Mus musculus: one gene and its partner. The protein of the gene in region 2 interacts with the protein of the main gene of each other region in a pairwise test. Links are inferred from orthologs where the notes say so. Each region holds a gene or a part of one and is shown on either strand. Other genes may lie near its edges. The genes, in order: Bmerb1 and Rapgef4.

The links.
Region 1: the proteins of Rapgef4 (region 2) and Bmerb1 interact in binary tests that used the Homo sapiens proteins (3 or more experiments, as listed by UniProt). The link is inferred for Mus musculus from reciprocal best matches to the Homo sapiens genes RAPGEF4 and BMERB1.

The regions. Positions count from the first base shown.
Region 1 is NC_000082.6:14,090,938-14,094,757, reverse strand, and holds part of Bmerb1 (bMERB domain-containing protein 1), read right to left. Parts: intron 870-3,820; coding exon 755-869; intron 1-754.
Region 2 is NC_000068.7:72,193,959-72,197,778, reverse strand, and holds part of Rapgef4 (rap guanine nucleotide exchange factor 4), read right to left. Parts: intron 2,143-3,820; coding exon 2,058-2,142; intron 1,564-2,057; coding exon 1,503-1,563; intron 1-1,502.

The DNA of each region.
Region 1 (3,820 bases), on a different chromosome or scaffold from region 2:
GCACCTGGAAAAATTCAATGTGCCTTGTTCTGCAATTTATTCTGTGTTATAAAAGTCTGATGCTCAACTGGAAAATTGCATTCAGATTCAACACCTCTCTTGTGTGTTTGACTGATTGTCACTACATCCGACTCTTCTGCCCATCTGCCTAAGTAATCCTGTTCCTCAAAGACCAGGGACCCAGAGGGTCTGCGGCAGAAGAGGAAGTTGCCCCCTACATGGAGAGAGACTCCAAAGACTTTGTCTTGGGATGAAAATATCCAAGACATAGCTGCACCCAGGCCCGGCATCTTCAGAGGCCTCTAGTCAGTCGTACAGCCCCAGAGCCAGGGGCTCCCAGCCCAAGATAACTGCAAGAGGGGAAGGAAAGATGAGGGAAAGCACAATTCTCAGAACTTGGGAGAGGTTGTCATGGGGACTGGTTTCTGTACATATTGACAAGTTTTGAGAGTCGCTTTGATGCATCCAGACAATGTATAGGAACTTTCTCCTCTATCACATGACGGAATTCCTTCCTGCCCACCTGCCTAAATGACCATCAGCTGAGACATACAGGACTCTGCGAGATTTTGGAGGATGACATAGTTGTTCTCTTGAATATGAGACGGATTCTGAGGTCAGGCGGGTTTTGTGTATGCAGAGCAATTGCAGAGGCTCTGCCTTTTAGGCAAGGCCATACATTCCAGGAGCAGATAGTGGGTTTGCAGGGCGGTGCAGGAAGTAGAGGCTCGGGATCTGATGGCCTGACGCCCACCTTAAGCGTTCCACCTCGGCATCATCCACCAGGAAGTCTCTCTTCTGTACCAGTCTGTGGATCTTCTGGATGAGCTCATCCTCTCTCTGCTTCTGCAGCTTGGTTTTTTCTTTTTCTGGGAGGGAGAAAACAGTGAGGCAGCTATGCTGGTGCATGTCTGCAATCCCGGCACTCAGGATGTTGAGGCAGGAGAGTGTGGGTTTGGAGCTAGCCTGGGACAACACATGAGACCCTGTCTCAAGACAGAACAAAGCATGAAGTGAGTGTAAGTAGCAGAAACACTGAGTCTGAGGGGACAGGATTGGACATGCGGCTCCACTACTCCATCCTCTGGGTAAATTTGAAGAGGCACTATGACCGCTTGTGCGTTTATGTGTGTAAACAGGCACACTCTTGTGTCTGTGTGCTCATTCATGTCTGTGGATGCAGGTGGAGGCTAGTGGCCAACACTGGATGCTGTGCTAGATAGTTTCATATTAATTTGATAAAAATGAAAGTCACCCAAGAGGAGGAACCCCAGTTTAGAATATGCCTTCAGAAGATCTGACTGTAGGCAAGCCTGGAGGGCATCTTCTTAATTAGTGATTGATGGGGGAGGGCCTAGCTCATTGTGGGTGGTGCCATCCCTGGGCTGGTGGTCCTGGGTTGTTTTTTTTTTTTTTTTCTTTTTTAAGATTTATTTTATTTATATGAATACACTGTAGCTGTCTTCAGACACACCAGAAGAGGGCATCAGATCTCATTACAGATGGTTTCAAGCCACCATGTGGTTGCTAGGAATTGAACTCAGGACCTTTGGAAGAGCAGTCAGTGCTCTTACCTGATGAGCCATCTCTCCAGCCCAGTCCTGGGTTTTATAAGAAAGCAAGCTGAACAACCACAAGGCAAGCCTGTAAGCAGCACTCCTCTGTGGCCTCTGCATCACCTCCTGCTTCCAGGTTCCTTCGATGATAAACAATGATGTGGAAGTGTAAGCCACTCCTCTCCTCAAGCTTTTTGCTCATGGTGTCATCATAGCAATAGTAATGCTAACTAGGGCAGGATTAGTTCCTCAGGTTCTATCAACTATTTTTTGTTTGCTTGCTTTTGTTGTTGTTTGTGGGTGAATGTTGTTGTTGTTGATTTTAGAGACAAGGTCTCTCTACAAGAACCTGGCTGTCCTGGAGCTTACTATATAGACCAAGATGGCCTTGAACTCACAAATATCCAAGGGTTGCAACAGAGACATCATCTGATAGGATGAACAGTAGGTATTTGGTAAGTGCAATGTCCCTCCAACTTCCCGTGCCAACAAAAGCTGGGGTCATGCTTTGGGAGTCTTGAGGCTAAGCTGCAATCTAGGTTGGGCTGTATTCAGTTCTGCTGGTGTCTTCTTTTGCTAATGTGACTGCACTGTGCTCCTTCTTGTATCTTACAGATGGAGAAACAGAGGTTTGGAAAAGTCATGGTCTAGGGAGGGTCTAAGGGATGGCTCCTTGGTAAGCTGCTTGCCTTTCAAGCATGAGGGCTTGAGTTCAATCCCCAGGACTCACAGAAAGACAGTTGCATAGCTGCACCCACTGACAACCTTAGTGCTGGTAAAGTGGAGACAAGCATATCCTTGGGTTTTAACGGCCATCCAGTCTGGTCTAATTAATGAGAGACCCTGTCTCTAGGGAGGTGGACAACATTCCTGGAGACCTGACACATTAGATGGGCGCTCTCTCACACCATATTTACATATGTCTTACATATGGTTTCTATTGCTGTGACAAAACACCATGAACAAAAAACAAGTTGGGAAGGAAAGGGTTTTTCAGCTTATACTTCCACGTTGCTGTTGATCACCAAAGGATGTCAGTACAGGAACTCAAACAGGGCAGGATCCTGGAGGCAGGAGCTCGATGCAGAGACCACAGAGGCATGCTGCTTACTGGCTCATTCCTCATGGCTTGCTCAGCCTGCTTTCTTACAGAACTCAGGACAAATTGCCCAGGGATGGTCCCACCCACAATGGTCTGGGCCCTCCTCCATTGATCACTGATTGAGGAAATGCCTTACACCTGGATCTCATGGAGGCTTTTCCCCAACTGAAGCTCCTTCCTCTCTGTTGACTCTAGCTTGTGTAAGGGTGACAGAAAACCAGCCAGCACAACCTGTGGCCCTGCATTTCCTCTGTATATGTTAAATCACTTCAGGCTGCCCGTAACATGGAACACAACACAAGCATTAAGTTAACAGTAATCATGTGTATCTGCCAGGGATCTTGACAAGAAAGGGTCAGTGTAACTTTCAGTGGGGATATTACTTTTCCAGGGGGCTGAATCTGTGGGTGTTTAATGCACAAGATGCATGGAACTTCCTGGAAGGGAAGGGAAGGGAAGGGAAGGGAAGGGAAGGGAAGGGAAGGGAAGGGAAGGGAAAGCTTTCTCATTGACAGAAATACCGCCACCAAGCACGTGTCAAGCATGGATGATTTTCAGCTCTTGGGCATTGACTGTCATCCATTGGACGAGGGGACATGGCTTCTGTGGGTGGAGCTCAGGTGTGACTCTGCCCCCCTGCCTCCATGTGCCCACTCACTGCTGCAGCCCCCAGCTTGCCAACATTATCCCACCTACTCAGGGTCAGGTCCCAAAGAAACTCAGGACAAAGGGCTAAGTGAGGTAGATGCCTGCTAACATATCAAAGCAGATGCTGGCTGCCAGGTTCTTCCAGCAGCACAAGTACCTGTTAGAGAGTCCTAGGTCCTTCTCACCCAGTCCTCTCTCTACTCTAAACCTCTCCAGCCCAGGGTCCACTTCCCTTCCCCCAGCTTCTCGTTTTCCTATATAACTCAGCCATTTGGGGCATGCATGCTTTCTTGGCTCTCTTGGTTTTAATGAACTCTCTTAGTTCTGTTGGCTGCCTTTCTTGTCTCTCTTTTCTTCTTCTCTCATTTTTCCTCCCCCTCTCTCCTCTCATGGCCCAGTCTATTTTGTTGGTCATGTTCAGTGTAGACTCCTTCAGAAGCATCTGCTGTCCTCTCCCTCATAGCTACAATAAAAGCCTGTTCCTCAGCCATACATAGGAGTGGTCATGTCCTCA
Region 2 (3,820 bases):
GAGCGTTTTGATAAAAATAAGCTATTTTAATAATCTCTGTTTTCATCCATTTAAATATTTCATAGTTCAGTGAAAACAACTAGTGATTCGAATAAAAAGAATTAACAGAATAATGAAAACGAATTAAATAAAGGAGAACTAAAGAAACAAAAAATAAAAATTATACAAAAATGATCCTGAAAAGGCAAAAAAAAAATTGGGTTTCTTGCTGACAGAGATATCGGTATTAGCAATAGTGTTCCTAATGAGTGTGTGTGTGGGGGGGGAGACATTTTGAGATACAATGTTTAAAGCTCAGTTTCCATCTCTAACTCATATCTCTTGTTTATTTTTAACTACCACAATGTATCTAACAAAGAGCAAAAGTTTCCAAAACAGGTCTCCTGGAAGTTTGTTTCATTGCTGGGGACTAACAAAGTGTTCCATGTGTCCCTGGTTTACTTCCATTTATCTCTAGCCGTCCCTCTCAGTTTCGTACAGAACCCCTCATAACCCCTGACATGCTGACTCATCTTCTGACCTTAACCCCAACTGCTCAGCAAAGATTTTGTCCACTAGAGGGAAACACCAGCATCAGCAATGCTGCGTGCATCTATTAATGTCTAAACTTCTTGCTTCCAGCTATGATCACAGAACTGAAGGACAATGTGAATTCCAGAGAGAAGCCCCCATATGACTGACACTATGTGACTATCTGAGGCAAAGAAGTTCTCTTGGGCTTGGAGCCCATGGTGCATGATGAAAAAAAAAAAAAAAACTAAACAAGAAACACAATACTTTACACAGTATTGTCAATGATAACTTAAGGTGTGTTAAGTATTTTAACTGTAACAGGAGATTTCCAGAGCCAAATTAATTCATTAAAAAAAAAAAAAACCAAAAACCTCAACCTTTTTTTTGTGACTGGATCTCAAAATTGCTCTATACCCATGGATGACCTTGAACCTTAAAGTTTCCTACTTCCCTCTCTGGAGCACCCTCTCAACCCTCCTCCCCACACTGGGTTATGCAATGCTCAGCATAGAACCCAGGGAGGGTTTCAACATGTTAGGCAAGTGCTCTGCTATCTGAACTATCCCTCAGCCACAGATTAGTTCTTCTATATCCACTATATGGAAGTTACTACCCAGAACCCTGCAGGAAGAGTAGAGACTTGATTCATCCCACCCGTTCTAGACAGTATTGAGCCAGTGGGGTAGAGAGCCTGCAGGACTCAGACTGGCAAGTGTTACATGTGTGGTGCTGGAATACCCACCAAACTTCAGATTGACTGACACAGGATGGAATAGTCACGAGTCCAGAAAAGGACAAGTGCCAAGTGATATCCTGCCAGGTCAGAGTAGGGCCAATAGAGAGAGTGGGGCATTGATGAACAGCAAGGGGTGTGGCCAGGCGTGACAGGCAGGGAGGGGGTGTGGCCAAGCCTGACCAGAGGGTGTGGCCAGGCCTGCCCAGCAGGGAGTGTGGTGAGGCATGGCGCTTCCATTAGGGCTCTCACTTACACACAGTTCCTCCTTTGGCGTGAGACTCAAAAATGAGAACACCTGCTAACTCCCGTTTCACCTAGGGGGGGAAAAAAGAAAAATGTGGGAAGACAAGGGACAGGAGAAGGGACTTGTGCTTTGCGTGGTGCCCGTTAGAGGTGGTTTTCAGGCTCGCCTAAAGTTATCTATCACACAGATTATACGATTTCCTATCATCCAGAAATACTTTCACTAGACTTCTACTTGGATCAGAAAGTCTATTCCAAAACTACTGTCTAGACAAGCTTGTAACAATCCCCATCAGGCAGACCTCTAAGGGACATTTATTTATTTTGTGGGGTGACTGCATGCCACACACGGTGTACTCTCGGGAGCTGGTTCTCTTTGACTACCACGTAGGCTACTGGGATGGGGCTCTGGTTGTCAGGCTTGTAGCTATACCCACGTTGAGTCATTTCTTAGGCTGAGATGTTATTTTTTTCATCCTGTGGTTTGTATTTAATTTTCTCTCGTGTGTATGGTGATTGCTTGAGTGGATGCCTGTGCACCACAGCTTGATTAAGAGATACTCACTGTGGTAGAGAGATGGGATAAGGCTTTAATATGAAGGAGCTCGTCGTAGATAATCTCTAGGTCATCCACAGTCCTCTGGCCAGGTCTATAGAGAAAGACAGTGACAAAGCATTGTTACACACGCTTCAAATATGGGATCCATTGGTCAGTAACACGCTAAGGGGTTTATTCTATATGAAAAGATACTGAGGGAGGCTCTGAGCCATAGCAATCCCGACAGGGACTAGAAAGGAATGTGTGCACTAGTTGGAAGAATATAGGAGGAGCTGAATGGACACAGACTCCCATCCCTTCCAATCTCAGCAGGAAGAACCCTCTGCATGGTCATTGGTTAACTTACCTGGGGCTTTGTAAGTAATTGTAAAGCATTGCTTTTTATTACACCCTAATCAATAATGACAAAACTTGTCTCTTTGAGCTCTAGGGACACTTGATTGGTCAACTTGACAATGGATTCACATTCCTAGAGTATCTTAAGGTAACACTGGGGCTGTCACTGTTCTGGATTATACATGTTGCTCCTCCCAGAGGACTCGAGTGATTTCTTACCCATCCCTAAGGAGGCATGTTCTTGAGGTATGAATGAGACAGATCACACTGCCTGGAATTTCTAAGAGAAGGAAGGGGAGGTACATCCATATATGTGAAACTCTGTTCTGTGGACTACCCCCGACCACAACGGGTTAGTGATTTGTGTAAAAGGGTTTTGTTTGTTTTGTTTTTTTAATTCCAAAGCCTAGTACTACATAAAGTTAGTAATATACCTTTGTTGTACGGAGTAAGGGGTCATTTTTACATTAGAAAACTGAGTAAATTCCTAACTGCCTTTTCTATCTAAGTTTATTTTGGAATTATTAATGTCATTAAAGGGTATTTAATAACATTATCACCCAAGGTAAGTGGCAGGCCTCCTCGGAGATAGCTGGAGGAAGAAAATGTCACAACTTACACATGACCTTCATAAAGAGAGCTTTACCCTGAACAACAGGATACTATGTACTTATTACACAGAATCAAAGGAGGACTTGTTTATTAATCCTGACTACACAAATCCAGGACTTGGAAGATGCCAGCCTCATTCATTTCCCGCTAAGGATCATCACTGAAGGACACTGGATTGGATACCAGTCCAGTGCTCAGTGGTGTCACCTAGAAAGCACAGGACCTCAAAAGATAACGAAGAGAAGCTGGGGCCACAGGGATGCCAGAGGAGCCAGGCCCTCTTAGCAAGTGCCCAATCCACCACTTGACTCACGCGTGGGGACTTTGAGGCAAGGACCCTTCGGGATTTAAAAGTCAATCCAGTCACCCCCAGGCATCTGCAGCCATAGGGGCAGCCATAGGGGCAGCCATAGGGGCAGCCGTGGGGGAAAGGCTCAGGGAGATGTAATAGGATTACAACTCTCCAGCTTGAGGTGCAGCCCCGCTGTTCCTGCTTCTTGACATCAGCCGTAAATAGCACAAATGCTCCTAGACACTTGGCTAAAATCGAAAGGAGTTACTGGATCACCTGACCCCCTGGCTGTGAAGTGAGCTGAAGGTAGGGGGGGGCACAACCTCAAAAATAAAGGTTTACATGTAAGTCGGTTCTAAAATCTTGACAGATTCAATATTGGAGTTGGGGGAGCCGATGTGTGGGTGTTCAGGTGCATTTATACATGAGTGGCAATATGAAACCTTTATTGCTTCGTTCATCTGCATTTTAAAAATCTAGAGCTTTACATTTTTATTCAAATTACTGATTTAGTACATTATTTTTTTGA